7 linked regions of the Canis lupus familiaris genome follow. The protein of the gene in region 1 interacts with the protein of each later gene in a pairwise test. Links are inferred from orthologs where the notes say so. Each region holds a gene or a part of one and is shown in the gene's direction. Other genes may lie near its edges. The genes, in order: RBPMS, RBFOX2, NEDD9, SEMA4G, PRKAB2, RHOBTB3 and RDH12.

Region 1 (4,098 bases):
AGCCAAAAACAGATGCTCAACCACTGAGCCATCCAAATACCTGCAATTTTATTTATTTTTGAAATCTCATCAGTTGTCTCATTCTGAGCAAGCTCTCTATCTAGGTGGGTCTCCCCTGCAAAATAATGCCTAAAGACTACTACCATGAATCTGCCTAGTGTCCTTGTGGTGGCTCCCTATGCTGAGACACTTCCACTTATTCAGTCCCTCCTGCAGGGGCTTTGTAAAGATGTGATGTCATTCAAGGCTGAAAATCAATCTCTGATAAGACTGTGTTCATTTATTCAAAAATATTCACCGAGAGCCTACTATGTGTTAGGCACTGTCTAGATATTGGGGACACAACGATCAAATCAGACAAAGATCTTCTTCTAGCCCTTATTTTTTTTTTTTTATGCCAGATGTCTTTGACTTTTAACAATGGACAAAGTGCTGGCAAAAGAATCAGGTTCTACATTTGGAATTAGGCCACATTTCCCTGGACGGAGGTAGCAGCAGCATCCTGGAATCATACAGCACCTTCCACCGACTTGTAAGTGGAGTCTGACTGGAATCATCAATGACTAGATCAACTGTCACTTTTCTTGGGCCTTTGCCAGGCTCCAGCAAGACAATATCTTTCTGTGGAGTGTATTCAGTACCTGGCAATGGCCCAGGAGGGCAAAGGGCCTGTGTTTATTGGTGGCGCAGGGGCCCAAGACCACCACGCAGCCATTGCTCAGGAACACATTGCCCCCTCGTGGTTCTTTACGTAATTGAGGGAGGGACTGGGATTGGAAAGGCTCTCCAAATTTCCAGATTAATCGTGGTGGCCTTTGCCTCTTCTGAACTTCCATTGCAAGTTCAACAGTTTCTTGGTTTATTTTCATCCAGGATACGCTTTCCCCCCACCCCCCCCACAGAGGCACATGACATCCTGACAGCAATTAAACCTATTTATCAAAAGCTTCAGACTTCCCCCACCCCCAACCCAAGAAAACCCCAGTAAGTGAATGCAAGAATTACCACTCTGTTTTTCTTCACAACGCTCGTCACACAAGTATTTTCTCTGCTTTCTGCTATTTGAACCAGGATCGCTGATCATGTGGCCATGGAGTTGTTTTGGGTGTCTCGTCTCCACAACACCAGTTAAAACTCCCTAGAAGCAGGAGCCTTATCTTCACCCCCACCTCCACCCCACCCCCAGCAGCACTTAAACCAGTACAGGGTGAAGAATGTCTGGCGGGGAGGGGGGAGAGCAGAGAAAGATAAACAGTGAAGCGAGCAAATAAATAGAAGTTGTGATTGGTACTGTGCTGGAAAGGAACAGCATGTCGTGTGAGAGAATTCCTGGGCGTGGGAAGTGAGGGAGAATCTTCTGATAGAGGCCCTTTTAAATTTATGTGTTTATGATACAGGAATGGAGAAGCTCTCTATGGCCCCGGGAAAATGGAAATTTCCTTAATAATAATGCTAGTTTCCCTGTTCTGTAAACTTACACCGGGCAGGAATGAGTGCTGGGTGCTCTAGCTCTACCAACCTATAATCTCCTCTAATTACAACCCCCCTGGGAGGTAACTATAACTACTCCCATTTCGCAGGTGAGGAAACGGAACCCAGGCAGTCCTCTGGCGCGTGGTGCTTAAACAGGTACTGGGTGCCCCCCTCCCAGAATGCTGAGCCCTTTTTCTTCCTTAAGGGGCTTTGACCCTCCGAAGATCATCTGGGTTGGCCTCCAGCTCGGCTCGCCGTGAGCAACAGTCACTTAGCCAACAAGTATTTATTGAGTGCCTACTGTATACCCGGTAGCGTATTTAACTAGCCGTGGGATTATCAAGGTAAACAAGGACACGGTGAGGCTGGCGTTGCGTTGTGGGGAGGCTCCCCCGGAAGGGTGAGGGAGGCAGGCAGGTAAGCAATTCCAGGACGGTCTGCTGAGGGCCGAGAGAGGGGCCTGAGCAGAGGGGGGCGCGAAGCCTAGCAGAGGGCGAAGGCCGGGGCTGAGAGCCTGGGAGGGCCCGGCGTGGGAGGTGGGTTTGAAGCTGCGCCCTGGAAACGCCGGCCCCGAGCCGGCTGCCCCCGGACCTCGCTCGTTCTCTCGCATCCTGTCATTTCGAGCTGCCAAGTAGGAAGGGAGGAAATAGGTCTGAGCCGGTGCTGCAGAGGCAGGGCAGGCTGAGCGACGGGGGCGCGATCCCCACGGCGGTAGCCCACGGCGCGTCCCGGGCGTCGCGCGGGCCCGGCCCGGCGCCCCGAAGCCCCTCTCCAAGCGGGCGCGCACCGCCGCGCGAGCTCGCCAGCTCCGGGGGCCCCCGGGGGCCGGGGAAGCGGGAGGACCTGGCCTCCCTCCCTCGTCCGCCTCGGCCCCTGCCCTCCGACCTCCCGCCGAGTCGGGGGGCTGGGGTCGGCCGCTTCCGCCCGCCGCCCCCCGCCCCTCCCCGGCGCGCGCCATCCGGCCGCGGGCGGCCCCTCCTCCCGAGGGGGGCTTCTGCGTCCCGCGTCCCGTCCCTCCGGGCTGAAGCTGGCAGCCCACGTCTAGGGAGGGCGGAGGGAGGAGGAGGAGGAGGGGGAGGGGGAGGAGAGAGGGGAGGGAGGAGGGCGAGAGAAAGGGAGCTGCTTGGATCCCGTACTTCTCAGAGCCTGCCTGGAGCGCGCACTCAGCGGCTCTCCGGGTCCCAGCGTCCCAGCCGCGCCCCGCACCTCCTCCTCCTCCTCCTCCTCCTCCTCCTCCTCTTCCTCGGGTCTGGGCACCCCTCGCCCCCTCCCTCCGGCCCCCGCCAGGCTCGGGCAGCGGCCGCCCCCAGCCCCGACGCGGCCACATCCCCAACTCTCTGGGCTCCCTCCTGGGACGCGCGCCCGCGCCCCATCCTTTCTTCCTTCCTTCCTTCCTTCCCTCGCGCCCGCCCGCCCGCCCGCGCTCTCCAGGTCTCCCTCCCGGTCCCGATTGTCTCCGTCCCCGCCGGCCCGCGCCTCGCCCTGCCCCGTGTCTCCCGCGCACTTCCTGGGTCGCCTCGCCTCGCCTCGCCGCGGAGCCCGAGCCGCCGCTGCCCCGGCTCCAGCCCCCGCAGCCCGCGGCGCCCGCCCGAGGGAGCCCCGGCGCCCGGGGAAGGGACAAGCGGGCGAGCGCGCCCTCGCCCCAGCCCCGCGCCCCAGCCCTGCCCGGCGAGGAAGGACCGGGAAGATGAACAACGGCGGCAAAGCCGAGAAGGAGAACACCCCGAGCGAGGCCAACCTTCAGGAGGAAGAGGTACCGGGGGGCTCGCTGCGGCGGGGGCACGACCTGGGCGCCGCAGTCCGGGGTCTGGGCACGGCCCTCGCCGCGACCTGTGGCCCCGGGCCGGGGGGGGGGCGGCGGGGGGGGTCTCTTCGCAGAGCGCGTTTCTAAAGTTGCGTAACTTTGAGGACTTTTCGGAGTTTGCTAAGTATAATGCTCAGCTTTGTCTGCGTGGGATTTTAAAAGCGGAATCGAGAGCTGACTCCCGGGTGACCTCCGGTTCCTGGGACCCAGAGGGTCGGGACCGAGTCTGCGACCGGGGCTGGGAGTGGGGGGTGTTTGTGCGTGCGGCGTGAGGAAGGAAGGAACTCGGGGAAAGTTCTCGGCGGGGAGACACCTTCAGTTCCCTGCCCCCTCCCCCTCCCTTTTCAGTGTTAAAAGTTCTCGGTGCGATCTCTTTCCAGCTGAGGCATTCTGGATTAATAGATAACTCATCAGCTGCATTCTTCTCTGATGAGTCAAAGACCTCGAATCTGGGTGATTAGGGTTTGTAAATTTTAGGGGCGATGCGGCTGGGGTGGGGTGGGGGAAGCCGAATAAAAGAGTTTGAGAGTTTACAACTCGCCAAGAGATCATCTTGGCTGTTTTAATAGCACTTTGACTCCTGAGCGTGAATTTTATGTGGTGCGTCCGTAACAAAGTTAAAAACGTTGCGGCGGCGGAGCGTTCCTTGGGGTAGAAACCCCATTTATCCGTGGGAGGGAACACCTGAACGGACGGTTTCAGAATTTTGTAGTTAGGATATTTGTGGTATTCTTTCAAGTGGCTTTGTTCCTGCAGGTATGTTACCTGGAGTCCAAGAAACAGTACATGTTTCGCCTGCTTTTTAAGTTCTCCCATAGCTG
Region 2 (4,038 bases), on another chromosome or scaffold:
TCCCTGGGTGGCGCAGCGGTTTGGCGCCTGCCTTTGGCCCAGGGCGTGATCCTGGAGTCCGGGATCGAATCCCGCGTCAGGCTCCCGGCATGGAGCCTGCTTCTCCCTCCTCCTGTGTCTGCCTCTCTCTCTCTCTATCTCTCTATGTCTATCATAAATAAATAAATCTTAAAAAAAAAAAATAATAAAAAAAAAAAATAAAAGTTTGAATCTACTGCTTAGATAAGTATTGTATTTGCTGGTAATGTCCTAAAATCAAGTGTAAGAATCTTAGTATATTCCATGATGTCTCCAATAGATAGATTTAGCCCAGCTTCTCAAACAGATGGTACAAATCAGCATAATTTGCATTTATCAGCATAATTTACATTTTGCCTACCCATTTATCAATGGTCTATCTTGTGATACCACTGCCTCCCCCTTTACCTCTTGTTTTTTTTTTTTCAATGCCCATAACAAAAACAAGTTTCTGCAATTTTGATAATAACTCATGTAAACAAAATAGGAAGGAGAGGCAAAGTTACATTTCCTTTAGATCCAGGGAGAATGCTGTGGTAGAAAGAGTCACTGACTAGAATTGAGAAGACAGAAATTCTACTTCTAGATTTGACTCATTTTACTCTGTCAGTGGACCAATCTTTTTAACCTGATTCTGTTTTCATCTCTCTTAATTGGTGATCACAGAATTTTAGCACCTGAAGCCTCTATAGAAGTCATCAAAATCCAGCCCTCTCTTAGCTTATTATTTAGGAAATTAAGCCCAAAGAAGTATAGTACTTATTCATTGTCCCAGATGTGGTACCTATCTTACCTCTCCCCTTGGGTTTTGTGAAGGTCAAAATACATTGTAAATTTGTACAAAACCAAACATACAAAAAAAAAACTAAACGTACTCAAAGTATTATTGACAGCATACCATTACATACCATTATTAAAATATGTAATATACTTAAGGGAATGCTTAAGTAATGGTGCCATTTGCAGGAAGAAAAAAGTCATTTTTTAAAATATTATTCTAAATTAATACTCAAGCCTAACCAAGCCAAACTTGAGAGACCAACAGCTGCTTGTGGTTTAAAGCTTCTGAAAAGAGTGCGCTAGATGCCTTCTAGTGAAGTCTCAGCGATTTAGTTTACATTGGTTGGAATCACTTGATTTGTCTGACATTGTAGAACATTTGTGTTCTTACAACTCCAGTAACATTTGAACTGAGGTATTTGCCCAATTTTTATGTAAAATCATGTGTTCACCATCTATGAGCACATAAAATAATGAACGGGGGTTAGATTGGTTCAGGATGAATGAGTTTTCTCTTGAATACTGTCTCCAGTCTTTAAGAAAAATAATGGAGTATGTTTGCTTATTTGTGTAAAATTCAATAAAAGTCTATTGATTAAAGTTTTCATATGAAATTCTACTCCTTGGGGATCCCTGAGTGGCTCAGCGGTTTAGCGCCTGCCTTTGGGTCAGGGCATGATCCTCGAGTGCTGGGATCAAGTCCCGCGTCAGGCTCCCTCCATGGAGCCTGCTTCTCCTTCTGCCTGTGTCTCTGCCTTTCTCTATGTGTCTTTCATGAATAAATAAATAAAATCTTTAAAAAAAAAAAAGAAATTCTACTCCTTAACTATCAATGGGCAGTAGTACATTTTTCTCTTTTTAACGTCTGCTATATTTCTATAAATATGAAAAAGGGGGATGAAGAAATAAAGTTGACACCAAACCTAATGTTTGCAAGTACTTAAAGTTTATAAATGCTTAGGTTGGTACTCAACAGCAGTCTAGTATCCTTTAGCTAAAACAACTAATTAAGTATGTTTATTACCACTTAAAATCCCAAAAAATGCATGAAATTGGGGATGTACCTTGAATTTTATTACTGAGTGTCTCTTCTTGTTCACTTGGCTGAGGATAACTGCACCGAAATTCCATTGGTAAATCCCAAAGAAAGGGGATTTTCACTTACCTAGATTTCCATCAGTATGGTATAATTGAACAGAGTCAAAGATCAGCTCAAATTTAAATTCAGAATATACCTTTATAAAGCAGTGAGAGTAGTAAACAGTGTGAAGATGATGAATAAGAAAGTGCATCACAGTGTGGTGTACAATGACATATATTCTGCCTTTCTCATTTTTCTAAAAACAAAGAATTTTTTTTTCAAAGAATATGTTCTAAGCAGTTCTATGAAAGAGACGAAACCAGAGCCCAGGATTTACTTTTATTTCTTACATTTCTTTGTCCTTCTCTTTCCTCCCACCCAGTTTTTCTCCTCCCCATTTGCCCCTATACCTGCAACACCCACCCCCCCTTATTATCCCTTCACTGTGCTTGTTCTGCTTAAAGATGCTCAGGTGTGGAAGTGACCCATCAGCTGGCGTCTACAGAGAAGATAGTGTTGGGTGGAGCTTAAATGCAGGGATGTCTGGAGCCAGCTTTCACATGCCCTCATCACACCTTTTCCTCATGGAGTCTTAAATGCTCTCTGTCCTCTCTTCCATTGCAGGTTGGAAATTAAGCCCCGTAGTTGGAGCTGTATATGGCCCTGAGTTATATGCAGGTAGTATTTCATTAATTTTTCCATTTGGCCTATTGACCATGACAACATCTGTTGGTTTTCGATCTACTATTCCTTTGTAATCTTTTTGCATTTTTTTTAATTTTTTTAAATGCAATCAGCATCCAGCTTTCAAGCAGACGTGTCCCTAGGCAATGATGCAGCAGTGCCCCTATCAGGAAGAGGGGGTATTAACACTTACATTCCTTTAATCAGTAAGTAGCCTATGTTGGCCTGGCATGGATTTTGACTGTTGTGAGTAAACAGTGATGTGTCCTAGTCTTTTTCTTCTTCCCCAAGTATAATATATAACTGAGGAGGAGGCCTTCTCAAGAGAGTTAAATGCTGTCACAGTGTCCCATCCTGCTTAACCTGTGTAAGAATCTTTCTGACCAGATACTGAGATTGCCACGAAGCATAAATAGTTGGAAAAGGTCAAGGGGATTGAGGACATGTGTAGAACATTTTAGTCTGCACTTGATTTTAAAACCAAAGAAATAGATACTTGTGGAATATAATATGCATGTTCTCTGCAGGTCAGCTTTGGGCTTTTTAGTAGAGTATCATTTAGAAGCACCTCCAGCATTAATGATTATTCTCCCTCTGTTGATACCTCTGAAGTCATTCTGACCTGAGCCATTTTGCTCTAGCAAGGTATAATTAAAAAGAGTTCAGTGAACATGGAATAAATGTCTCTGTGTGCTTTCCAGAGGATAGCACATTTAAAATAGACCTTTAGAAACTTTCTGCCTCTCTGAAGGCCACAGGATTACAAGGGAGAAGTCGTTTTCCTCTCCCCTAACATTTCTGGATTAAAACATTTTAGATAAAAGAATAAAATGGACTAATGAAATATCTAAAGATTATTGTATGCCTTGGAGGTTAGCACCACATACAAACACAAAAGACTGCTCTTATGAAGAATAATTATTAAGTGCACATAACAACATGTGAAAATAAGATTAATAATTGGCCAGTTAAAGAATTAATATCAACAATTTAAACTGCCTGCAGAAATTAAAAGTCTTGTCTCTTACTACGGCAGTAGTCCTCAGAGCTTCTTGACCTCTTTCTCACCAGCTTGCATTGTAAAGGCCAGAATTGTGAAGGAGCAGAGTAAACTCACTCAAGATTGGATGATGAACGGAGCATGCATCATTAGTTTTTGCATATTGGGTCTCTCAGTTTCTTTCTCAGAAAAGATGTGATAATCTCTTCCAACCTTTCCTGGAATTGGTTCAAAGCAAGTTGTGATTGTACCCCTGCTATTGAATTCAAGTTGACATTCCTGTCATATTTTGGGTCTCCCTTTAGTTCCTGGCTTCCCTTACCCGACTGCAGCCACCACGGCAGCCGCTTTCAGAGGAGCCCATCTGAGGGGCAGAGGGCGGACGGTATATGGTGCAGTCCGAGCGGTACCTCCAACAGCCATTCCCGCCTATCCAGGGTAAGCACTAGATTCCAAAATAAGCAGCTGGACAGAA
Region 3 (4,038 bases), on another chromosome or scaffold:
CAAAACGCTGGTCCCTTTTAAATGCTATTTGTGGACCAGCGTGCATTAGATGGTACCGTCGGGAATGCTGGAATCGGGGAGAGATTGTATTTTGTTGGCTTTCTCCCTCTGCGGTTTGCGCCATCTGTTTCTTTTAATGCATAAACAAGGAAAATGACTGGCTTGGAATGCAAAGTTTTTAAAAACCAGATGACCACAGGCATCCTCTAAATGAGAAAGAGAGAGCAAGTTGAGGTTCTGTGACATTTGTCAGGAAGCGAGATGTTAAATACCGGGAAGCGCGGATGCTCTCTGCCAGGGCAGATCCACCAAGGCAAGGAAAAGCTTTGCCTATGACCCTGCCTTTCTGAGGTCTTGCCATATGTTTACATTTCACCAGGGACTATTTTCAGATCCCGGCACCCCCACCTCTATCTCCCAGCCTCCCTTCCCGTGTTTAAACTAAGGATGGAAACGCTCAGCTGGCCTTCAGCATAACCAGCCTTGGTTTTCCATTAGCATTATTACTGGCTTGGCAACCTTGGACAGAATCCGCTCTTAGAAACTTTCAGACTGAACAAAAGCTGTGCTGTGTGCAGGTTCTCTTACGAAGCCAAAATAGAGAGCTATAAATAGAGGGGCTGAGGAGATAAACTCAGAAAAGATACTTTACTTCTCTCCTGGATAATAGCGAGTGGGAAAAAAAAAAATCCTATAAGGGCAGGAGGAAGACAGTGCATTTTTCTTGAGCAAAGGGCATGCTGCTTTTAAAAGGAAGATTTGCTCTGCACAATCCAGTGGCCAGTGTATAAATGGTTCTGTATGCTCCATGCCAACAATCTTTAAAGCCATAGATGCTTTAAAAAAAAAAAAAAACAAACAAACATGGCAGTGGAGAGATCTGATGGGATAGTGGCTGCGTACAAATCTTTACCTTCATTGCAAGAAGTAATCAGCTGCAAGCACCGGGGATTTCAGCATTTTAGAGCTCCCGGGGAGAGGGGGCATTGGTGCATCTGGCTGAGTTCCACCTACTTCAGCATGAGACGGACACCGAGCATTTTTCACATAGTTTTGTAGGCAGCCCGACGCCAGAATTTTCACATTAGAGAAAGGATCAAAGATGACAGTTTCTTAGGGAAGAACCAACTCTGCCTAATTTACAATGCCCCTTCTCCTAAAAAAAAATAAAAATAAATAAATAAGACTTCATGGGCAATACTAAGAGGGGCTTTGTTAGTCATTTGGAAGGGCCTGCATTAGATAGAAACAAGACCCTGGTCATTTAGAAGTCCTTGGAGGACTAAATACGTTTCCAAATGAGTTTAAGTTCAAATAATTTCTCTACCCGTACTTAGGACACAGTGAAGGATGGTAGATAGGAAAATACGAGCCTGTCGGGTGAGGTTCGTTTCATTGGCATTGGTTCTAGATGCCAGAGTTGTGATGAGTGTGTTTGACTTCCCACATCCCTTGGACATAGGTACTGTCTGGGATGTCTGCTTTCCTGGTAGAAATGAGAAAAGGGTTAGAGACCTTGAACTCTGTTCCTGGTGACTCTCAACCCAGTCTGTCATTTGTTTCAAAGGTTAGATTGAAAGCTCCTGGAGGCTTCCGAGAGCAGCACTGCTTGAGCGTTCGCTTCATATAAGTACTCTAGTGACCTATGGAATTTTAGTTATAATAATAATCATGTCACATGAAGAGGCGTCCTGGGGAAGGTATGAGAGGAATTTTAAGTAGTTCAACTCTCTATTTGCATTCTTCTCTTGACAAATAGTTTCAGAGCCTTTAAAAAAAATCGTGGGGTTTTTTTTCCCCATTAGGCTATGTTTTTGGTGCTTCTAAGGGATGATCTAGGACCTTCATAATTTAAAAATGATTCTCCCCTAAGGTACATACTTGGGATTGAGACTTTGACCAACTTTGTCATTAGGAGGAAGAGGGTTGGAGCTGTTTCAGGGATTTGTTCTTTATTGGGATTCAAGAGGGGGTTTAAAAGTGTTCTGACCTGATGTCTCCATGTCTCCTTCGTTTTCTCTTCCCTTCCTTGTTTTTCTTTCTTTCTTTTTATGGGAGATAGGTGACGGAGGAGAGTGCCTGGTTAGGAGTCTAAAAGATTCACTCAGGACTGTGGTTCAGAAGTTTACACCCTCTTTGTCTTCCTGCCCACAGGTGGTAACCCCAGTGAGGACAGGCCAGGGCTATGTGTACGAGTACCCGTCCAGACACCAAAAGGACATCTACGACATCCCTCCTTCCCACACCACTCAAGGGGTACGTACCAGGACCGTGGTCACCCGGGGAGGGGAACACTTCAGGGTGGCATCCCTCAGGGCTTCAGAGCAAAGGGATGTTCACAAATTATGCATGTTTCACATGATGCTCTATTTAGGTTATCATCCAGAAGCCATTTTCACCAAAGCTGTTCAAATTATGTTTTCGGGATTTGCCTTCTCAGGAGGCCCTAGGCTTTTATCTGACAAAGCTTTTGTTGCTTATCATTTTCCTTCGGGAAGTGTAAGATTTAAACTATAGTTCAAAGTACAGGCAGTGTAGATAATTTCACATAGGGTCACTTTTATACTCAATCTAAGTCAAAGTATATGAAATATAAAAAGAAAAATCCTATCAACCCCTTATGACATAGTGTGGCTAAAGAGCAAGGTTGTACATGTAACGTGGCAAATAAACCCATAATGAAAGGCTTAGCAGATTAAGAAATGACAAGGATACAATATTTCTATTCTGGGTAAAGCAAGTGTATTCTCTTCAGGTGTATGACATCCCTCCGTCATCTGTGAAAGTCCCTGTGTTCTCACTGCCAGTGGGAGAGATAAAACCTCAAGGCGTCTATGACATCCCTCCTACTAAAGGGGTAAGTGAATTTCCTACGAGCAGCAAAAAAAGGTGTGTGTGTGTGTGTGTGTGTTTGTTGGGATGAAACAAGAAGGTCAAACCAAAGGGGAAAAACTAGTCTTTATGAGAGAGTGAATGGGAGGAAGGAAAGGCCATAGTTAGTGATAAGTCTAAGGATTCCAGGGGTGCCTGGCTGGCTCAGTCAGTGGAGCATTTGACTCTTGATCTCAGGGTCATGAGTTTGAGCCCCACAGTGGGTACAGAGATTACTTTAAAAAAAAAAAAGGAAAGGAAAAAAAATCTCAAAGAGAAGTCTAAGGATTCCATATTTACGGGATTCCGTAAAATAATTCAGTTTGGCAAGCAATGAATATATCTCATTTTTATTAGAAGTGTTACAGCGTCCTCAGTTCGTAGACTGGGGTTGCTGCGTCTGATGCACTCTGTTACCCGCTGGGGTATTCCTGCACAGCAAGCGTAGTTATCCTTATCGTGCAGAGAAGGGAGCTGTGTGTGGAGACATTTAAGCCACTTATTCAGCATCTCATGGCCGATAGATGCAGGGAGAAACCTCAGGTCTTCTGACACCTGGTCCTGTGTGTGCACGCACAGTCTGCCTCCCCGGTTGGATCAGCCGAGGAAGGAGACCCCAGGACGTGGTCAGAAATGCGGGGCTGGGCCCCAGGGAGAGCAACTCAGCCAGGAAGGTTCCACACACAGGCAGCACTGAGGCCATGGGAAGGACGGTCCTGTCAAAGGATGAAGGAAGTGAGAACAGAACAGAGCGGAGCCTTGGGAACCACCGGCCATAAGTGAGTAGAAGGTGGAAGACAAGAGCCAGTGATTCGGACTGAGAAATCGGGCCTCGTTTTCATGTCCTTTTCAGTTTCTGCATGTTCACATGAGCCAGCTGAACAAATAATAACTCCTTTTCCTACTCCCTTTTCAGTTATATGCCATTCCACCCTCTGCTTGCCGAGATGAAGCAGGGCTTCGGGAAAAAGAGTATGATTTCCCCCCTCCAATGAGACAAGCTGGGAGGCTGGACGTCAGGCCCGAGGGCGTTTATGACATCCCCCCAACCAGCACCAAGCCCACTGGGAAGGACCTTCACATAAAATATAACTGTGATGCTCCGGGGGCCGCCGAACTGGCCACACGAAGACACCAAAGCGTCTTGCTGAACCACGCGCCCTCACA
Region 4 (4,038 bases), on another chromosome or scaffold:
CTCATTGTTGGATGGAGAAGGCATTCTCCCTGAAAACAGAGCTCTAGTTGAGATGGAGGCCTAGCTTAGCTTCCTACTTGGTGAGAGGAGGGCCATTAACTTTGGGTTTGGGTTGGGAGGAGTCTAGGGTCTTGTAAGGAGAGCAAGTTCTGCCCAACTCGCACCAGAACAGAGAGGTAGACAGAGTCACAGTGAACTGATCCTGATGTGGGAGTTCTATAGGCCACCTCCCCCAGTACCCCTTGATGTCTGGGGGGTAATGCCATCTACCTTCCACCCACACATAGATCAAAGAGTTTTTTTCCTGTTTTTTCTTTAGAAAACGGACCTCAGAGAACCAAGACTAGTCCTTCTGTCGGGGCAGGGTGACCCCATCAGTGACCTACAACCCCTCTATGACCCCACAAGTTCCTCCCACCACGGAGTTTGTATATGATGCAGAAAGGCAGTGTGTGATATATCCCTCTCTCTGATCTCTAACCTGGGATTCCATGGCCACACAACCCTGTGATTCCATGTCCCCTCGATTCCAGGACCCTCCCTGGCCCCATGACCCCTGACCTTCCAAGTGACACCTCCCTGGGCCTTGACCCCCGTGACTGTTCTTCCCATCATCCCCTGTGATTCTGGCCTTGGCTCCCCTGGGGGGTCTTACAGGTCTGGGCCTCCCCAGGAAAATGTGGGGGAGGCTCTGGCCCCTCTTCCTGAGCTTCCTCACAGCCACTGCAGTCCCTGGACCCTCACTTCGGAGACCATCCAGAGAACTAGATGCCACCCCGCGGATGACCATCCCCTATGAAGGTTAGATCCCCCCACCCTCAAATTTTGAAAGACAGCAGGAGCCAGGTCTGGGAATAGAGAGGCAGCCCCAGGGCTGGGCTCACTGCTCCTGCTCTTCCCAGAGCTCTCTAGGACCCGGCATTTCAAGGGTCAAGCCCAGAACTACTCAACACTGCTACTGGAGGAGTCCTCTGCAAGACTGCTGGTTGGAGCCCGAGGTGCCCTGTTCTCTCTCAATGCCCGTGACATAGGAGATGGGGCTCACAAAGAGGTTAGCCCCTAGAACTTGGAGCACCCGGAAGGTCTCCAGCTTTATCCAGCTCCCTGGGAACCTCAATTTCCTAGAAGCCCTGCCAGCTTTCCATAGCCCCCTGATCAGATAGCACTGCCCTTCCCAAGCCAAGTCTCCTTTACCATTCAGTGCCACTCTTGAAACTTACCTATACCCCAGGTTCCTGCAGTCCTATCACTTGGTTCCATGGATAACGGTGAAAGACAAGGGTACTGGGGTCAGCACTTCAACCCATTCCCTTTCCCCATCTCCAGATCCACTGGGAGGCCTCCCCAGAGATGCAAAGCAAATGTCATCAAAAAGGAAAAAACAACCAGGTATGTGGTCTGCCCTGTCCCCAACTTCTTTCCTTTTCCTCTTCATTTGGGAATGTCAGGGTTGGTGGGGACACAGATGGAGAGGTATGGATCAGCCAGTCAGTTGCAACAACCACAACAAACATGTGAGTATAGCCAAAGTGGCAGGCCGTAGGTGCAGCACTTCTAATCCAAACATTTGGTGGCCTACCAGCTTGGCCTGTAGTAGCATCTTAATCTCTTCTGGGCTCCTGAATAATAATCATGAGAGTAATAAATAGTCTCTAGTAAATGTTAACTTAGCTGTTTTCTCTCCTAATTCTAAAATAACCCTATGAAATAGTCTTATCCTCCATTTTACAGATGAGAAAAATAGGTTTGGTCAAGGAATGCCATGGAGGAGTGGTAGTGAATTGTCAACTCTTTCTGGCTTAAGAACAAACAGGGTGTCTGCAAGGGTCCCATGTCTGGCTATGTAACAGATCCATATGGAGAGCTTCTTAAGAATATGCATTCCTAGGGGCGCCTGGCTGGCTCAGGCAGTAAAGTGTGTAACTCTTAATCTTGGGGTCATGAGTTCAAGCCCCACATTGGGCATAGAGATTTTTTTTTTTTTTTTGAGATTACTTTAAAAAAAGAAGAAGAAAAAACACAGTCCTGGCCCAAGGATTCTTTTTTTTTTTTTTTTAAGATTTTATTTATTTATTTATTTATGAGAGACACAGAGAGGAGAGGCAGAGACATAGACATAGACAGAGGGAGAAGCAGGCTCCTCACAAGGAGCCCACAGAGCTCAGGCAGCCCTATGTAGCTCAGTTGGTTGAGTATCTGACTCTTGGTTTCAGCTCAAGTCTTGATCTCAGGGTAGTGGGATGAAGCCCTGCATTGGGCTCCCTGCTCACCTTGGGCTTCTTGGGTTTCTGGGGCTCCTGCTCAGCAGGGAGTCTACTTCCCCTTTCCCACTCCCTCAGCTGCTCCCTCTCCCTTTGCTCCTCCACCCTCTCTGCCCCTCCACCCACTCAGTGCTCTCTTTCTCTCTCTCTCTCTAAAATAAAATAAATAAATCTTTTTTTTTTTAAATAAATAAATCTTTAAAGAGGCACCTCTAAGAGAGTCCATCAAAGGTGCCTGCTGATAGAGCATGCAGCATAGGTAGAAAGTGGGGCTGGTGAGGGAAGTGGAGCCCAGATCACAGAGGACTGTAAATGATCAACTGGGAGGATGGGTTTTATTCTGTGACAATGGGCACCCTCACCATTTGGTACTTTATAGACTCTCAAACTTTAATGTGTGCATGAAGCCCCTGGATATGTTATAAATGCAGATACTAACTCAGTAGGTCTGGGGAAGGCCCCAAGATTCGGCAATTCTAACAAGCTTCAAGAGGACACTGATCCTCCCAGTCCCCAAGCCATCCTTCAGATAGCAAGGCTTGAGGAGAACATTTCCCAAGGCATGTTCTAAGGAACACTAATTCTTAAAAGAAAGGTTTAATGGTCACATAAGTTTGGGAAGTGCTATATGCTCAATTCTACAATGCACAGCAATATCCTTAAGGCTCTGAAAAGTCCCCTGGAAAGGCAAGCTTTAGCCATGGTTCTCAACTTATTTGACCACAGAATTCCTCCCTGACCCCTCTTTTTTTATGTAAACAACTTAGGGAAACACTACTAGAGGAATATTAATCCAGTCTCAAGCACTAGATGGATTAAAATAGAGTGAGTCTGGAGGCAGGAAAGGCAATGGGAGTTGGTGACATCATGGGGTCAGAGGAGGGAGGCCTGAACAGGCTAGTGGAGAGGAGGGACAGATATACCCAGGGAGGGAATGGGATGAGACAAAGAGGTCTTCATGGATTCACACCCTGGGTAGCAGGCAGGAGGAAAAATCACTAACAAGGCAAAGAAGTCAAGAGGGGCTTAGCTTATAGCAGTTAATGGGCAAAGAAAGGCAGTGTGGCTAGAGGGGTGAGGGGGTGAGGAAGAGGCAGAGGCCTTTCATGCAGGGCCAGACGTGGTGGGACCCTATGCTTAGGACTCTGGTGAGCCACTGAAGGTTTTTAAATACAGCAGTGACGTGAGTTGGTTTATATTTTTAAAATATGCCTTGGAAAGTGGGTTGCCAGAGGAGATGATTGGTAGAGCATCTCTGAAAGGAGACTCCAGACAATGGTAACAGCAGTCCCCTTTGAAGCCAACAAGGCTAAAAGGAGATCCTCTGTTTACAGCCTATCCCTTTGTACCTTTTGAATTTTATACTGTGTACTTATATTCCTCATTCGCTGCATAAATTAGTAGCTTTTATAGTCACAGCGGCTTGGGAGAACAGTCAGGCAATCTCTACATTTATCCAGGGAAGAGGGGACAGCGGTAATGTGGACTAGGGTGGTGGAGGTGGAGGGGAAGTGGACCACGTGAGGAGACACTTACAGCAAAGAATCCTAGAGAAGGACCAAACATGGGGGTGAGAGAATGGAAGGCATCAAGGATGACTCCTCGTATCTGGACTGAGTAATAGGATGGATGGATGAAGTGAGGTGGGAAGGACTGGATGAACAGGTTTAGGAGGGAAGGTACAGGTTAGGGAGGAGGGAGTAAGCTTGGTTTGTGAGTTGGTGAGTTTGATTTTTCCGTGGGCTATCAGGTGGAGAGATGGCCAGAACATGGGGAT
Region 5 (4,562 bases), on another chromosome or scaffold:
AAAAATGTTATCCGCAACATTCTTTTTTCTGCAAACTGTCTTTGGTTAAGAACCAGAGAATCTGGGATCCCTGGGTGGCACAGTGGTTTCGTGCCTGTCTTTGGCCCAGGGCGCGATCCTGGAGACCCGGGATCGAATCCCACGTCGGGCTCCCGGTGCATGGAGCCTGCTTCTCCCTCTGCCTGTGTCTCTGCCTCTCTCTCTCTGTGTCTCTATGAATAAATAAATAAAAATCTTAAAAAAAAAAAAAAAAGAACCAGAGAATCTCTGAGTTTACTAGGGCAGAGGAAAGACAAAAGGCAGAGAAGCGAATTTGTCAAACCTAAGTGTATGGTTTTTTTTTTTTATGAAAAATAAGCTTTTCAACAAAATAAAGCTGTTCATTCAAAAAGGGTGGCCTTGTACGACGTGGCATTCCCCCATCGCTGTTTGTTTAAGTGGTATTATCTTGTTAGAAATGTAGTAAACGGTATTATACCCTTCACTGTGCAAATATTTATTAAAAGCTTACTCCGGACAAGATGCATGCAGAACAGGAAGAGGAATCAAAACTAGACTTGCTCTCTGCCAGCCTTCAAAGCAGTGCTTGACACTTTAATATGTATACACATTCCCCTGAGGATCTTGTTAAAATGCAGATTCTGATCCTGTAGGATAGAGCCTCAGATTCTACACTTCTAGCCAGCTCCCAGGTGATGGCAAAGCTGCTGGTCTGTGTCACACACATTGAGTGATAACGGTTTCCGCTAGGGAATCGGAAAAGCACATAATTATAACACAAAGAATGAATTAGTAAATACCATACACGTTCCATTAATCATCAGCAAAAACCTAGATCCGTTCCAACCCGAGGACAATCTCTGTCCTTTTCTGCTCTCACTGTTCCTTCTCTTCTTGTTGGTCTTCCTCAAATGGCATTTCTTTTGGGGTTGCTCGTTGCATTCGCGGTTTCTTAGCTCAGAATAGCTTTCTCCTCCTCTTCAGACCAGTTTCACGCATCTGTCAAGGTTTCTCGCCTAATTACTCCTTCCTCACTGGGGCCCCAGTCGAGGCTGCTCCCCACCGCAGCCAGCTGGAAGGTACCTCAAGCAGTCGCCACTACTTCCTTCTGATTCCAGGAGGAAATTCTGTTTCTAAATCCCTGGAGGAACCCACCTGTCCGGGTTGCCCAGAGAACGTTCTGTTTAACCTGAAGCCCGGTGAGGCGGGCGGCAAGGAGGCAGCGCCGCTTCTCCGGGTACGGAGCGCCTGAGGCCGGGAGGCGGCCCTGCGGTCCCTGGAGCCCGTCTGCTCCGGAAGGCCGGCCCGCGGCTGACCGCGCCAGGGTTTCTGGGTCGGGTGGGCGGAGCCCGCGCCCCGCCCCGCCCCGCCCAGCCCGAGGCCAACGCGGAGCGGGCGCCCCCGCCTGGCGCGAGAGGCTGCCCACCACCGAGGCGGCGGCGGCGGCGGCTAGAGAGGCCGCGAGCTCGGGAGCCGTCGCCGCGCGGCCGTAGGGAACGCGCGCGGGGCGGGCCTGGCGCCCCTGGCCTCGTAGCCATTTTAGGAGGAAACCCGGATCTCCAGCCCGGGGCGCGGCTTCAATTTCAATAACTTTATTGGTGGACGTAACCGCAGAACAGCCATCTCGCGAGTGGCTAGGGGAGGAGGAAGAGCATCGCGGGAGGTGACTGGGGTGGGGGCTCCCCCGGGCAGTGAACGCGGGGATGCGGGGAGTTCCCCGAAGCGGGTTTCCCCAGCGGCGGGCGTCGAGAGGCGGGTGGCGGGTGGCGGGTGGGGGGTGGGGGGCCGCGGGCGCTGCCGGAGGCCGAGGAAGGAGGGGACCCCGGGCACGGCTTCCCTGGGGCGGGGATTCCCTGGCCCGGGTCCCCAGGCGCAGGGGCGGAGCGGGGGGCGTCCCTGACGCGGCCGCCGGGTGTTAAAGCCCCGCGTGGTTCGCCCCGGCAGGTGGCCCCCGACTCGAGCTACAGCCATGGGAAACACCACCAGCGACCGGGTGGCTGGCGAGCGCCACGGCGCCAAGGCTTCTCGCGCCGAGGGCGCCGGCGGCCACGCGCCGGGCAAGGAGCACAAGATCATGGTGGGGAGTACGGACGACCCCAGCGTCTTCAGCCTGCCGGACCCCAAGGTGAGTCTCCCCGCGCGCGCCCCGGCGGCCCAGCCCCCCTCCCCTTCCGGGCTCCTCCTCATCCCACCGACCTACGTTACGGTTTTCTGAATTAAAGGGATGGGGCTGGGGAGGGGGGGGGGGGGGGGGGGACGGAGATGTTGGAGGGTAACTGACGCCTGCGGCGCTGCCTCGAAATACTATAGAGGCGGGGTTTCTGTCGTTCGCCTGACCTGCTGGCCATATTTTTACGATGGGGACTGTAGAGTCGTCCCCCCCCCCCCCCCACAACGCCACACACACACACACACCCATCCCCGGTTTTCCGAACAGGCAGGAGCCCTCTTGGAGAGTAGTGATGAGTTTATGGGTTGTAAACCCTATAGACCCTGGTAGAAAACTTCAAAGACGGTAGGTTGCCTGAGTGGCTGATCATCTGAGACAGTTTCTCAGGTTTACCCTGAGGTAGGCAAACGAATTTCTTTTTTTCTGATAACCTGTAGGTATCAGTATCATTTTTGCTCCTCTAAGAACCCAGCACTTCGGATCCTCTTCCCCTTTGGCAGGATTGTGAGCAGCAGCCACTTGCCTATTTGATACTTTCTCCTCGTCTTGGAGATCAGTACAGGACTTCCTTTGGCTGACTGCTCAGTTGTTCATCTCATCCTTTATATTGCGGTTGGCTGAGGTGCTTCCTTCTTCACACCCAGCTACTGGTCAACTGGGAGAGCAAACGATCCAGGATTTCTCCTCTTCCAGTAGGAATTCGTGATGTTACCATCGCTGAAAACGGACAACCCGCAGCTGCCGGGCAGGCAGACCTTGCTCTCAAATCCAAGGACTTCCAGAAAAGCGGCAACTTGTGCCCACCCGTAGATTAGATGGAGTTGACTGCAATGGGATTACCATCCGAATATTTCTAGTCCCATTTAGAGCTGTCAGCATGAAATAACAATAATCCCTCCAGGCAGTCCGAGTGGGAGGAAGTAGAAAAAATGGAGGGATTGAGGAGATTCAGGTGTGTTTGATGTTTTTTTTTTTTTTATCACTTCAAACCTTTCACCAAATTGGGGTTTTAGGGAGTAAAGAAATGATTTGCCCCATTGGTAGCACATGAAATTTGGATTCTGTTTATTTTCTTGAATCCCAGTTGAAAACATAACTACAGAAAAAGAAGTGAAGGTGGTTAAAAGCACCATCTTGGGGTTTCGTCTCCATTCCTTTCTTCCTTCTCCCACTTTAGAACTTCTTTCTCAGCATTTGGGCCATCTAGCCAGTCATTTTGAATTTCCTTAGAAGCTTTCTCAAGGTGATCCACCTCCTAATTTTACCCTTTTCCTATGTCAATGACTCAGGATTTAAGTACAGTGTATTTGTCAAACTCTGACTGCAATAATTGGTGTGCTGAATAAAAGCCAGGTTGCTCCATCTGAAATGGAGCCTATTTTGGTTCCTTCCTTCCCTAACCCCAGTCTTGCCATTTGTGAGTAAGAAAATTGGTTCAGATAATTCCTAAGGTCTCTTATACATGTAAAATTTTATAGTTCTCAATCTAGTCTCTTTACTTCTTCCTTCATTGTTTTACTTAAATATTTTCAAACTGTAGTTCTCATTGTTTTGCCTCTTTTCATAATGATTTTGCTGACAATTTAACTTGGAGTAAATGGTCTTTCTGCTAGTCAGCTGCACTCAGGCCTGCCACGGAAATGTCATGTCATATGTGGAAGGGCTTTCTTCCAAAGCCGGGCATGTTAATAGTTTGTAGCTTTCAAATTCGAAATTGAAAATACTAAATCATCAAAGTGACTCATAGAAACAGTGGCAGTGGGGTCAACATTGCTTCAAATGCCAGTCCTCTTCAGTGGACTAGGTCAGTGGTTCTCAACCCTGTTTGCACATTAGAATCACCTAAAATTTGTTTAAACACTGTATGGAAAATTAGAGACATTTTCCATGTTTCAAAGTAGTTAGAGTAGTATAGTAAACTCCTATATACCCATCACCCAGTTTAAACAATGATTAAATTTGAACAAATTTATGTCATGCCTATGCCAGTCCACTTCCCCCTACCAAATATTTTGAAACAAATTCCAGACATCCTATCAAATATTATTTTATCTGTAAATATTTTAGGATGTATCTGTAAAGTTGAGGTTTTTTCCTTTGTTTAACATAATCACAGTAATAATATTCTCTGTGAAGCTTTTTAAAAACAGGTTCCTAGGTCCCATATGTAAACCAGAATCTGAGTTATTCTTAGGCATATGTAAAAATTTTTGTAATTCTAATGCAGCCAGTCAGACAAAGGTGCATTCCTTTAGGAATATGGAGATCAAGGTTTTCACTTAAGTCACTTCCTTACATAAGGTGAGAAAGTCCCTTCAATTCTCTGTTTACTTCAGTTTATGCTGTTACTGGTGTCTCATTAGTATAGTTTTGAGGAATATTGAGAGACAAT
Region 6 (4,038 bases), on another chromosome or scaffold:
TTAATAATACAGCATTAAGATAGACTCACAATATTGATATTACAATGACTATGAGAAACTTTCATCTTATTTATTTACAGTGACAAGTAAAAAGTAGAAAGGTTAGAAAGGTAGAGAGGACTGACATCTAATTTTCCTATCAAAGATGTTATAGGGATCCCTGGGTGGCGCAGCGGTTTGGCGCCTGCCTTTGGCCCAGGGCGTGATCCTGGAGACCCGGGATCGAATCCCACATCGGGCTCCCGGTGCCTGGAGCCTGCTTCTCCCTCTGCCTATGTCTCTGCCTCTCTCTCTCTCTGTGTGACTATCATAAATAAATAAGATATTATATTGTAGTGGATTAAAAACAATCTGAATTTAGTCTAAGAATCTTGCATTTCCCAGAAATACCTAGGGAACTGGGGGGAAATGACAGTTCGGTTTCATTGTGGAGAGGAGAGGGGGCTGGTTCTCTTGGAGTATGTAGGTTTCCTTGTTCCCGGCTCCACTTCCTGAACCTGACATCCCAGGGTCACTCTTCCCACCTGCCAACTCCCACTTGCCTCTGCTTGCTTCTGCTTCCTCCTCCTTGTTTCTCTTTGCTCCTAATGCCTGGTGTTGCAGTTAGGGTTGGAGGCATGATAAGAACTGAAGATGTGGTCAAGGTTGGAAGAAAGACATGGCAGTTTCTTTTATCCTTAAGACTTGGTGAGAATGTAGAAATAAGATCAGAATGATCCCTTTTGAGATTGTTGAATAGTAAAATACAGCTTAGATCTTGACTGTAAGAAATGGTGGTATTTGCAGGAGTATAGATGGAGGCGATAATGTCAAAGTTAAAGGAGCATTTAAAATCTTGTATTTAAGAATCAAGGATGAAGACCTGGGCAAGAGGAGTGTGTGCCCTTTATCTTTCGAGAGCCCCATCTGGCACTCCCTCCAGTTGCACCACCATGTCACAAGTTGATGGAGCCAAGGGGTATGCCCTCCTGGAGCTAGTAGCCCTTCTAGGCCTGCACCATTGGGTTAGGGTAGCCATTACCCACAGATAGCTATAGCTATTTATATTTAAATTAACTGAAGAAAATTTAGTTCCTCAGAGACACTACTCACATTCAGGTGCTTAATAGCTACATGTGCCTTGTGGCTACCGTATTCAATAGCACAGATATTACAGAACATTTCCATTAATGCAGAAAAGAAAGTTCTGTTGTTACAGTGCTACAACCATGTTCCAAATGCAGGACCCCAAAGTTCTCTGACCAGCGGTCTGTTTCTCAGGCCTGCGCAGGCCTTTTTCCTGGGTTGATCCTCCCGCAGGTGGACTGCATTACTAGTGTGTGTGTCCCCAAGTCTGAAAGGTGGCCATAGGATGATGGCGTAGGAGGTTTTGGATATGCAGGCCTGGATGTCTGCTCGTATGCAAAAAGCTCCTTGAGGCTTGGGATGGAGCAGGGGTGAGACGAGAAGGGGAGGTCTTGGGATCTGGAATTAAGGCCAGCTCTCCCTGTCCTACCTGAAGTTCTGAGAAGTCTGAGAATTTAAATCCAAACCTGGCCTTCTAGGCTTTTATGATGTTATATCTGTCAAAGTAAGAGGATATAACGTCTTTTACAGATTAGTTTGTTTTCTTGATTTACAGAGTTTAAATATTAGTGTATGTGGTACATGGACCTCTATTTGTACCTTTGCCCCAAGCCTTACAGCACAAGGCATATAGGCCTTGTGCTGTGCAAGTGAGTGTGGTTAGGATTTTATTTTTAAGATTTTATTTTTTAGTAATCTCTACACCTAATAAATGGATCTCGGATTGAAAATCTCAAGATCAAGAGTTGCATGCTCTGCTGATGTAGCCAGCCAGGCACCCCAGGATTTTTAATTTCTAACATAAAGGATGTATTTCAGTGTAATTTATTCAAGAAAAAATAGAGCATATGTAAACATCCCTAGTTGATCTGAGCATCTGTGACATAGAGCCAGATCTGTCCAGCCTTGAATTTCTCTAGTATTGACTGCTGCGGTTGTCCACGAGATGGTTATTGACAGTCACACAGTTGTACTGCTGGACTTTCTTGATTATTCAAGAGAATAAACAGTTCCTTCTTGAATAGATAGTTTATTTATGCTTGGACAAGCACAGTCTGTTCAACTTGATACATTTTTTAAAAAAGAAAAACAAATTGTTTAAGTGTTTGGTAAAGCGTACATGTAGATGGTACTGGAATTAAAAACATTTGGCAAATCTGATTTGGGGTACAAATAATTACGTTAGATACATAATTTTGTTGAAGATTTAGTTTTAACTTAATTAAAATTTGATTCCTGTTTTAGTTGGAGTATTTTATGATTCAAGCCTTAAATCAGAAGACAAGTGAAAAAATGAAGAAAAGAAAAATGAGCAACTCATTTCATGGAATTAGACCACCTCAGCTTGAACAACCAGGTGCATTTACTAACCAATGTCTAGACATTCAGTTGATATTTATTATAGATCACTTCACAAGTGTTAGAGCAGTTGTTCCCAAATTTGGAATCTGCTTTTAAAATACGTTTCCAGGTGATTCTGAAGTAGCTGGTACTTTGGACCCATTTTGGACTGTCTTAAACTTGAGTCTACAAGCTTCTTTTAAAAATAGTGTATGTGGTGAAGAGCTATTTTAGATTAAAGTCTAAGAGAAATGATAAGCAAATGCAGTGCATGAACCTTGATTGGATACTGGTTCAATAAAAACATCTCAAAGACTTTTCTCAGGACAGTTGGGTAAAATTTTAATATGGACTGGAAATTAGGTGACATGAGGGAATTGTTAATTTTTGGATGTATGGTAATGGTTCTATCATTAATGGAAGAATGTCCTTATTTTTTGGAAATGAGTATTAAAGTATTTATAGCTGAAATATCTTTATGATTACAACTCTACTTTTACATGATTCAGGAATATGAGTCTGTGTGTAAGTGTGTATCTACCTAGAGATATGGCAAACATGACAAAATGTTAATTACAGAATCCAAGTGAAGGATATATGTGTGCTTATTGTATCATTCGTTGAACTTTTTCAAATGTTTGAAAATGTTCATAACCCAAGGTTAGAGGAAAATAAAAATAAATATACACAATTTTTATCAAAATTAATTTTCATCAAATTTTTAATAATTCTCATAGAGATAGAGTAATAGTACTCATGCAGACCAATTTGCTGTGGATATTGTTTTAAAGTGTAGGTACTTGATAAGTACTTGTTAAATAAATCAACATAAATTAAAAATCAAAAAAACATAAATTAGTATGGGAAATTTTTGGTTGTTTTTTTTTTTTAAAGCAGATCTATAGATCCTAAGTAATACACAGATGGCTTTGAATTTTCCGGTGTGCAAAGTGAGAGGGGAGACTTGGCTGGTTACATAGCAAACCTACTGCTTTAAATACTTTTTGGATAAGAAGATGGGTGGGGAATAGCCAAATAAACAATGGAGGCAGATAATTTCTTGGTTCTTATTATTGAAGAAGAGAAAACACAACAGTTGATCTGAGAAAGCAAAGCAATTCATGCCATTTAGCACTAGAAGAAATTTCTCACGTGGGTCTCCACTTGGGGCACTGGGTCACCTAGTGAACAGGGCTTTCAGAAGTGTCTGGTCAGCAAATGCAGTCTCAGTTCTCACAAGTGGTTCTTCGTGCCCTTCTGTTAGGTATCCCACTGAACATCGTTCTGGTGCTTACTTGTTCTAAGAATGGACCCGGGGCTCCCGGGCGTGTGGCTTTCAGGTTGTTCTTAGCCATCCAGGGTCTGGGAGGTACCTGAGGCAGCAGAGGGAAGCAAGAGTGGGGTGTAGGTTAGGAAAAGCCTAACCACCAAAATACCGTGTTATTATCGATTTTAGAGACCGAAGGTTTGCTTTAGAGTAAAGAATTTTTCTTCCTAGAGAAGTTTGAATTTTACTGGTTTAGTAGATACATATCTTTGCAGCAACCCTTTACCGATAACCCTTTCCTCGGCTCAGCTTAGGATAAAAGCTAGACAGCAGATATTTTATAGTTAGGGTCTGTGATGAGGGCC
Region 7 (4,735 bases), on another chromosome or scaffold:
TTGGCACAATGCCTGACACCAAGAGGTGCTTAGCAAGTATATGTTAAATGGATGAATGAGGGAGTGAACACCTGCCTGCCACAGGAATCTTCCTCATTACATGCGTCTTCCTGGAGCCTAGGAAGCTCTAGCTTCTCAGGAAGAAGCAGAACTAGGGCATGACTCTTGGGGTCCTGTTCTGAAGACTCTGGCCTGTCAACCCATCCAGAAGAGGGATGTTGAGTGAGCAAGGACTGTGAACCCTCCTCCCACCCTCTCACACATTTTTGGAGGGCTCCAAGAGTATCTGCTAGCTTTTTGTCTTGTGTTTTCCTTCATCTTTAATATCATCCAGCTGAGGGGCTCAGTCAATTGCATGTCCAACTCTTGACCTCAGCTTAGGTCTTGATCTCACAAGTTCAAGCCCTGTATCCGGAGACTACTTAAAAAAAAAAAAAAAAAAAAAAGCATCCAACTGAAATGTTACTCCCATTCACTATGTCTTCCTTTTCTGCCCCAAACCCTTGAATAAAGCAAGTGGGATAGCAAAGGAGACAGGAATCAATACAATGAATCAAAACATGGGATACCTGGGGGGCTCAGTGGTTTAGCACCTGCCTCAGGGTGTGATCCTCAAGTCCCAGGATCAAGTCCCGTGTCAGGCTCCCTGCATGGAGCCTGCTTCTCCCTCTCCCTGTGTTTCTGCCTCTCTCTCTTTCTCTTTTTGTGTCTCTCATAAATAAATAAATAAAATATTTTTAAAAAATTAATCAAAAGAGCCAACTCTTTCACATATGCTAGTTTCCTATATGCTAGTTTCTTCTCAAATTTTCTACCTATTTAATTAATTTAATTTCTGCCTACTTAAGTATTAATTTAATACTTAAAACAGGTAGGTATATATTTTTTACCATACCCATTGCACAGGGAGGAAACTGAGTAACTACACAGGGCTCTGGAGCTTGCAAATAGATGGCTGGGATCTGAACCAGGAACTCCACTCTAGAGCCCATGCACTGAAACTCTTACCCTGGCATGTACACATGTTTTAGCTTCCCTGAGGTATAACATAAAACACAGAAAAGTGCACAAATCAAGTGTATGACTCAATGAATTTTTCACAAACTGAGCATTCCTCTGTAACCAGTACCCACCTCGAAGAACAGAACGCTTATCCCCACAGGAGTTCTCAACATGCCCCCTCCCAGTCTCTACCCCTTTCCCTTTCCCACCAAGGGAAACCACCCTCCTGACCACTCTTACCATTCTCCTGGGAGTTTCTACCTTCTCTTTCTGTTTTAATCACACTTTTATTACAAGTGTCATTGGGTCGGCTACTAAAGTTAAAAATATCCTGTCTTGCAGGAGTAGCGCTGGGGGTGGTTAGGAGAACACATTCCCTAGAAAAGAGAAATAATTGAGAGTGGAGAGTTAGCAGGCAGTTGCTATTTTCCCCTCATCCTAATTCTCTCTGCCAGTAAGGGAATGCCAGTGCTCTTTCCACTGTCCGCTTGCCCAGGACTACATCTCCCAGCAGGCTGTGCTCTGACAGCTCTCGGATTTAAATAGGATTCTGGTCTAAGCTTCCAGCCTGGCTGTCGCTGAGCTCTCACTCACTCAGCAGCAAGAGGAGCTAGAGGAGGCAGGGGTAGCACAAAGAAGCCAGGAGTTGGAGTCAGACCAGGAGCTTGAGCCAGACTTGGAGTTCAAGTTGCTTTTGCTAAAGCAGCAGCAACTAAAGAAGTTGAAAAGATGCTGGCTATCTTGGGACTGCTTACCTCCTTCCTTTCTTTCCTGTACGTGATAGCTCCATCCATCAGGTTTGTCCTGTTTGAGTAACTCATGGAATATTTTGCAAAGCCCTGGATTGGGATATGCGTAGCTTGTAAGTAGCAGTTCTCAGCTGCTGAGAGAAGAGAAGGGGATTGAGGCTGAGGAAGGGAAGGTCAGGGCAGAAAAAGCAGGAAGGAGGTCGTTAGCAATACCCTCGTGAAAAACGAGAAGGAAGCACCTGGGGCTGGGAGAGAAGGGGCTTGTTTGAATTCCGGTGCCAGTGGACAGCTGACTCTATAAAGTAGCTTGACAGCTGAGGTGGAAGTGCTTGCTCTATCACTCTATTCCCTTGGGTTTCTCTGAAGGGCCCTAGGTCCCTTCTTTATTGCCCCCGGTCAAGGTGGCCCTGCTGGGTTACCATGGGAGGTCATTGCTCAGGGACTTATTGTTAAGTACCAGGCATTTTGTAAAGGAAACAAACTCTCTTACCTTTGAGGCTACCCTCAACTAATGATTTGGGATGGATCTTCTGCCGTGGGATTCCTGGAGATGTCAAAGAAATGTGTGTTCTGATTGAAAAAATTGAAAATTGCTGATAATAAAGAAGATTAAATGGACATATCAGGAACAGAGTGTTGCTCTAGGTCATGGCAGAGAAACCTGGGTTTAAGTTCCAATTTTGCCACCATTAGCAAATGGATTGAACTTCTTTGACCCTCGGTCTTCCCCACGGTAAAATGGGGCTAATACTGGAGTGGTTGAGAGGATTAAAATAAGTTCTTTACAAAAAGCGCTTAGCCTAGTGTCTGGCAGTCAGATGATGCTCAGGAAATGTTAGTTCTGCCCTGTTCTCATCCTCTTTTTTGGAACTTGTCAAGTCAACTTTATATGAGAGGGTGCTCTCTGCACAAGCAAATGGACAAGGTAAGTTTCTCTCTGCACTGATGGCTAGAATGGACTCTTTAGTAGGACAGCAGAAAGCCTTTGAAGATGTTGGCTTTCTAAAACTGGAGAGGCAGCCCAAGAGCTGTATTCATAGTGCTATTAATCAATTATTCACTCTTGATGCTTATTGAAGACCTAGGGCTCAGGAACGCTGATTCCACTAATGCTCATCACCCATATGTTCTGAATGCAGGTTAGAGGAGGAAGCTGACCTCTGGGAACCTCTAGAAATAAGAGCTGGGCATCCATGTTATCTAATGAGGAAGGTCTCCATTGGCCCTGGCTCGAGAACACTTATTCAGTTCATCAAAATAATCATTTGTAGTTTCTGGGCACATGACCTCCCAACCTGAGCTGATGAGCAGGATGCCCAGTGGGAAAACAGTGTCTCCTGAAGATTAGCTTCTTTGGGTCTCCTGAGGACAACGTAAAGAAATTTCCCTTTGAGGCTGGATGGGTTTTATGTTGATCTCAGTCTGGAATTTGGAAGGATGATACATGAGTGCTTTTGTTTCCCTTGCCTATAGGAAGTTCTTTGCTGGTGGGGTTTGTAGATCAAACGTGCAGCTTCCTGGGAAGGTAGTGGTGATCACCGGCGCCAACACGGGCATTGGCAAGGAGACAGCCAGAGAGCTGGCTCGCAGAGGCAAGTCCTTCCCCTTGTGTGTTCATAGGACAGTGCCTCTTGCCTTTCAAACTGGGGGTTCTGTCCACATTTCCTTATCTTTCCTCCTAGGCTTGGAGGTTTTGGTTGGGAATTTAAAGAACCTGGGATTCAAGTCCAGCTCTGACACCAACTTACTCTGTACCTTTAAACAAACTTCCCACCCTCCCTTCTCTTTCCCTAGTATATGGAGGGAAATAATGATGTTCATGTACAATATTGGTCAAATCAATTATTCTAAATGGGATACCAGGTAACATTAAATACCAGTGGGTAAAAACCAGGGTTCCCAGCCTAGGGTTAAGCTGACAGCAAAGGGACTGAGCAGTTCTACTTATGAGAATCCTGAGGTGGCAATATAGCCACTCATGGTTTAGGGATGGCTGGGAGAATATTTTGTCCTCTAGTCTCAAGCTTACATCTACTTTTTTAGCCTAGGGTCTGAACATACGGCTTTCTCTTTGTTTTGGCCCCAGGAGCCCGAGTGTACATTGCCTGCCGAGACGTACTGAAGGGGGAGTCTGCAGCCAGTGAAATCCGAGCTGATACAAAGAACTCCCAGGTGCTGGTGCGGAAACTGGACCTATCTGATACCAAGTCCATCCGAGCCTTTGCTGAGGGCTTTCTGGCAGGTAAGTCCCCTGCCAATAGACAGAAAAGCAGAAAGCTGGGTGTGGAGGTGGCTGTTCCACCCTGTGCCACCTGGGACCCTTACATCAGAGCCACTATCGATCCCACTGGACAGGTTCTGCCACTTGAACCAGCAGGGCAAGGAATTGGCGGTGGACAAGCTGGGCAGGATCCTTATCATGGTTTTCCTCAGCAATGGGAAAGTTGAGCTGTCTGTCTGGGCTTGCTGCTTGGCTTTAAGGTGTGGTTCTGATGTCACACACTTCTCATTCTGAGAATCAACCTCCTGTGGCCCCAGGCACTAGATGAAGTTGTGCTGCTGCCAAAATTCTTCTGTATCTTGGAAAATGACTAGCTTCTACCAAGGACTATGAAATTCATGAAGGACAAGGACTATGTGTGTCTTGTTTTATGGCTATATGTCCAGGGCATAGCTGAGTGGGCCTGGCCCAGAGTCAGTACTAAGTATACATTTGCTGAATGAATGAATGAATGAATGAATGAATGAATGAATAACTGAATGAGTGGTGTCCATGAAGATATCAGTAACTAAATTTAGAAACCCAATGACAGCGGTTATTAAATATCACTGAGATAGGTTCAACGGCAAGGAGAAAATACTCAGGCTTGCTACAGGCAGCTAGTGGGCTTCTTGCTAACTACAGAGTCTCCTTGGTTTTGCTCTATAGAGGAAAAGCAGCTCCATATTCTGATCAACAATGCGGGGGTGATGATGTGTCCATA

The links.
Region 2: the proteins of RBPMS (region 1) and RBFOX2 interact in binary tests that used the Homo sapiens proteins (3 or more experiments, as listed by UniProt). The link is inferred for Canis lupus familiaris from reciprocal best matches to the Homo sapiens genes RBPMS and RBFOX2.
Region 3: the proteins of RBPMS (region 1) and NEDD9 interact in binary tests that used the Homo sapiens proteins (3 or more experiments, as listed by UniProt). The two-hybrid records come from large-scale screens. The link is inferred for Canis lupus familiaris from reciprocal best matches to the Homo sapiens genes RBPMS and NEDD9.
Region 4: the proteins of RBPMS (region 1) and SEMA4G interact in binary tests that used the Homo sapiens proteins (3 or more experiments, as listed by UniProt). The two-hybrid records come from large-scale screens. The link is inferred for Canis lupus familiaris from reciprocal best matches to the Homo sapiens genes RBPMS and SEMA4G.
Region 5: the proteins of RBPMS (region 1) and PRKAB2 interact in binary tests that used the Homo sapiens proteins (3 or more experiments, as listed by UniProt). The link is inferred for Canis lupus familiaris from reciprocal best matches to the Homo sapiens genes RBPMS and PRKAB2.
Region 6: the proteins of RBPMS (region 1) and RHOBTB3 interact in binary tests that used the Homo sapiens proteins (3 or more experiments, as listed by UniProt). The two-hybrid records come from large-scale screens. The link is inferred for Canis lupus familiaris from reciprocal best matches to the Homo sapiens genes RBPMS and RHOBTB3.
Region 7: the proteins of RBPMS (region 1) and RDH12 interact in binary tests that used the Homo sapiens proteins (3 or more experiments, as listed by UniProt). The two-hybrid records come from large-scale screens. The link is inferred for Canis lupus familiaris from reciprocal best matches to the Homo sapiens genes RBPMS and RDH12.

The regions. Positions count from the first base shown.
Region 1 is NC_049237.1:34,777,312-34,781,409, reverse strand, and holds the start of RBPMS (RNA-binding protein with multiple splicing), read left to right. Parts: upstream 1-1,298; 5' UTR 1,299-1,580; intron 1,581-1,678; 5' UTR 1,679-1,817; intron 1,818-2,904; 5' UTR 2,905-3,160; coding exon 3,161-3,226; intron 3,227-3,691; exon of another isoform or gene 3,692-3,706; coding exon of another isoform or gene 3,707-3,730; intron 3,731-4,098.
Region 2 is NC_049231.1:29,471,994-29,476,031, forward strand, and holds part of RBFOX2 (RNA binding protein fox-1 homolog 2), read left to right. Parts: intron 1-2,503; coding exon 2,504-2,557; intron 2,558-2,676; coding exon 2,677-2,769; intron 2,770-3,856; coding exon 3,857-4,001; intron 4,002-4,038. UniProt on the Homo sapiens protein: RNA-binding protein that regulates alternative splicing events by binding to 5'-UGCAUGU-3' elements. Prevents binding of U2AF2 to the 3'-splice site.
Region 3 is NC_049256.1:12,162,739-12,166,776, reverse strand, and holds part of NEDD9 (enhancer of filamentation 1), read left to right. Parts: intron 1-2,154; coding exon 2,155-2,256; intron 2,257-2,755; coding exon 2,756-2,857; intron 2,858-3,787; coding exon 3,788-4,038. UniProt on the Homo sapiens protein: Scaffolding protein which plays a central coordinating role for tyrosine-kinase-based signaling related to cell adhesion. As a focal adhesion protein, plays a role in embryonic fibroblast migration.
Region 4 is NC_049249.1:13,849,477-13,853,514, forward strand, and holds part of SEMA4G (semaphorin-4G), read left to right. Parts: intron 1-319; 5' UTR 320-677; coding exon 678-801; intron 802-902; coding exon 903-1,051; intron 1,052-1,326; coding exon 1,327-1,389; intron 1,390-4,038. UniProt on the Homo sapiens protein: Cell surface receptor for PLXNB2. May play a role in axon guidance.
Region 5 is NC_049238.1:58,294,367-58,298,928, reverse strand, and holds the start of PRKAB2 (5'-AMP-activated protein kinase subunit beta-2), read left to right. Parts: upstream 1-1,496; 5' UTR 1,497-1,663; intron 1,664-1,668; exon of another isoform or gene 1,669-1,752; intron 1,753-1,944; 5' UTR 1,945-1,969; coding exon 1,970-2,125; intron 2,126-4,562. UniProt on the Homo sapiens protein: Non-catalytic subunit of AMP-activated protein kinase (AMPK), an energy sensor protein kinase that plays a key role in regulating cellular energy metabolism.
Region 6 is NC_049224.1:13,896,224-13,900,261, reverse strand, and holds part of RHOBTB3 (rho-related BTB domain-containing protein 3), read left to right. Parts: intron 1-2,310; coding exon 2,311-2,422; intron 2,423-3,011; exon of another isoform or gene 3,012-3,779; intron 3,780-4,038. UniProt on the Homo sapiens protein: Rab9-regulated ATPase required for endosome to Golgi transport. Involved in transport vesicle docking at the Golgi complex, possibly by participating in release M6PRBP1/TIP47 from vesicles to permit their efficient docking and fusion at the Golgi.
Region 7 is NC_049229.1:41,962,239-41,966,973, forward strand, and holds the start of RDH12 (retinol dehydrogenase 12), read left to right. Parts: upstream 1-1,560; 5' UTR 1,561-1,731; coding exon 1,732-1,799; intron 1,800-3,224; coding exon 3,225-3,343; intron 3,344-3,837; coding exon 3,838-3,993; intron 3,994-4,680; coding exon 4,681-4,735. UniProt on the Homo sapiens protein: Retinoids dehydrogenase/reductase with a clear preference for NADP. Displays high activity towards 9-cis, 11-cis and all-trans-retinal. Shows very weak activity towards 13-cis-retinol.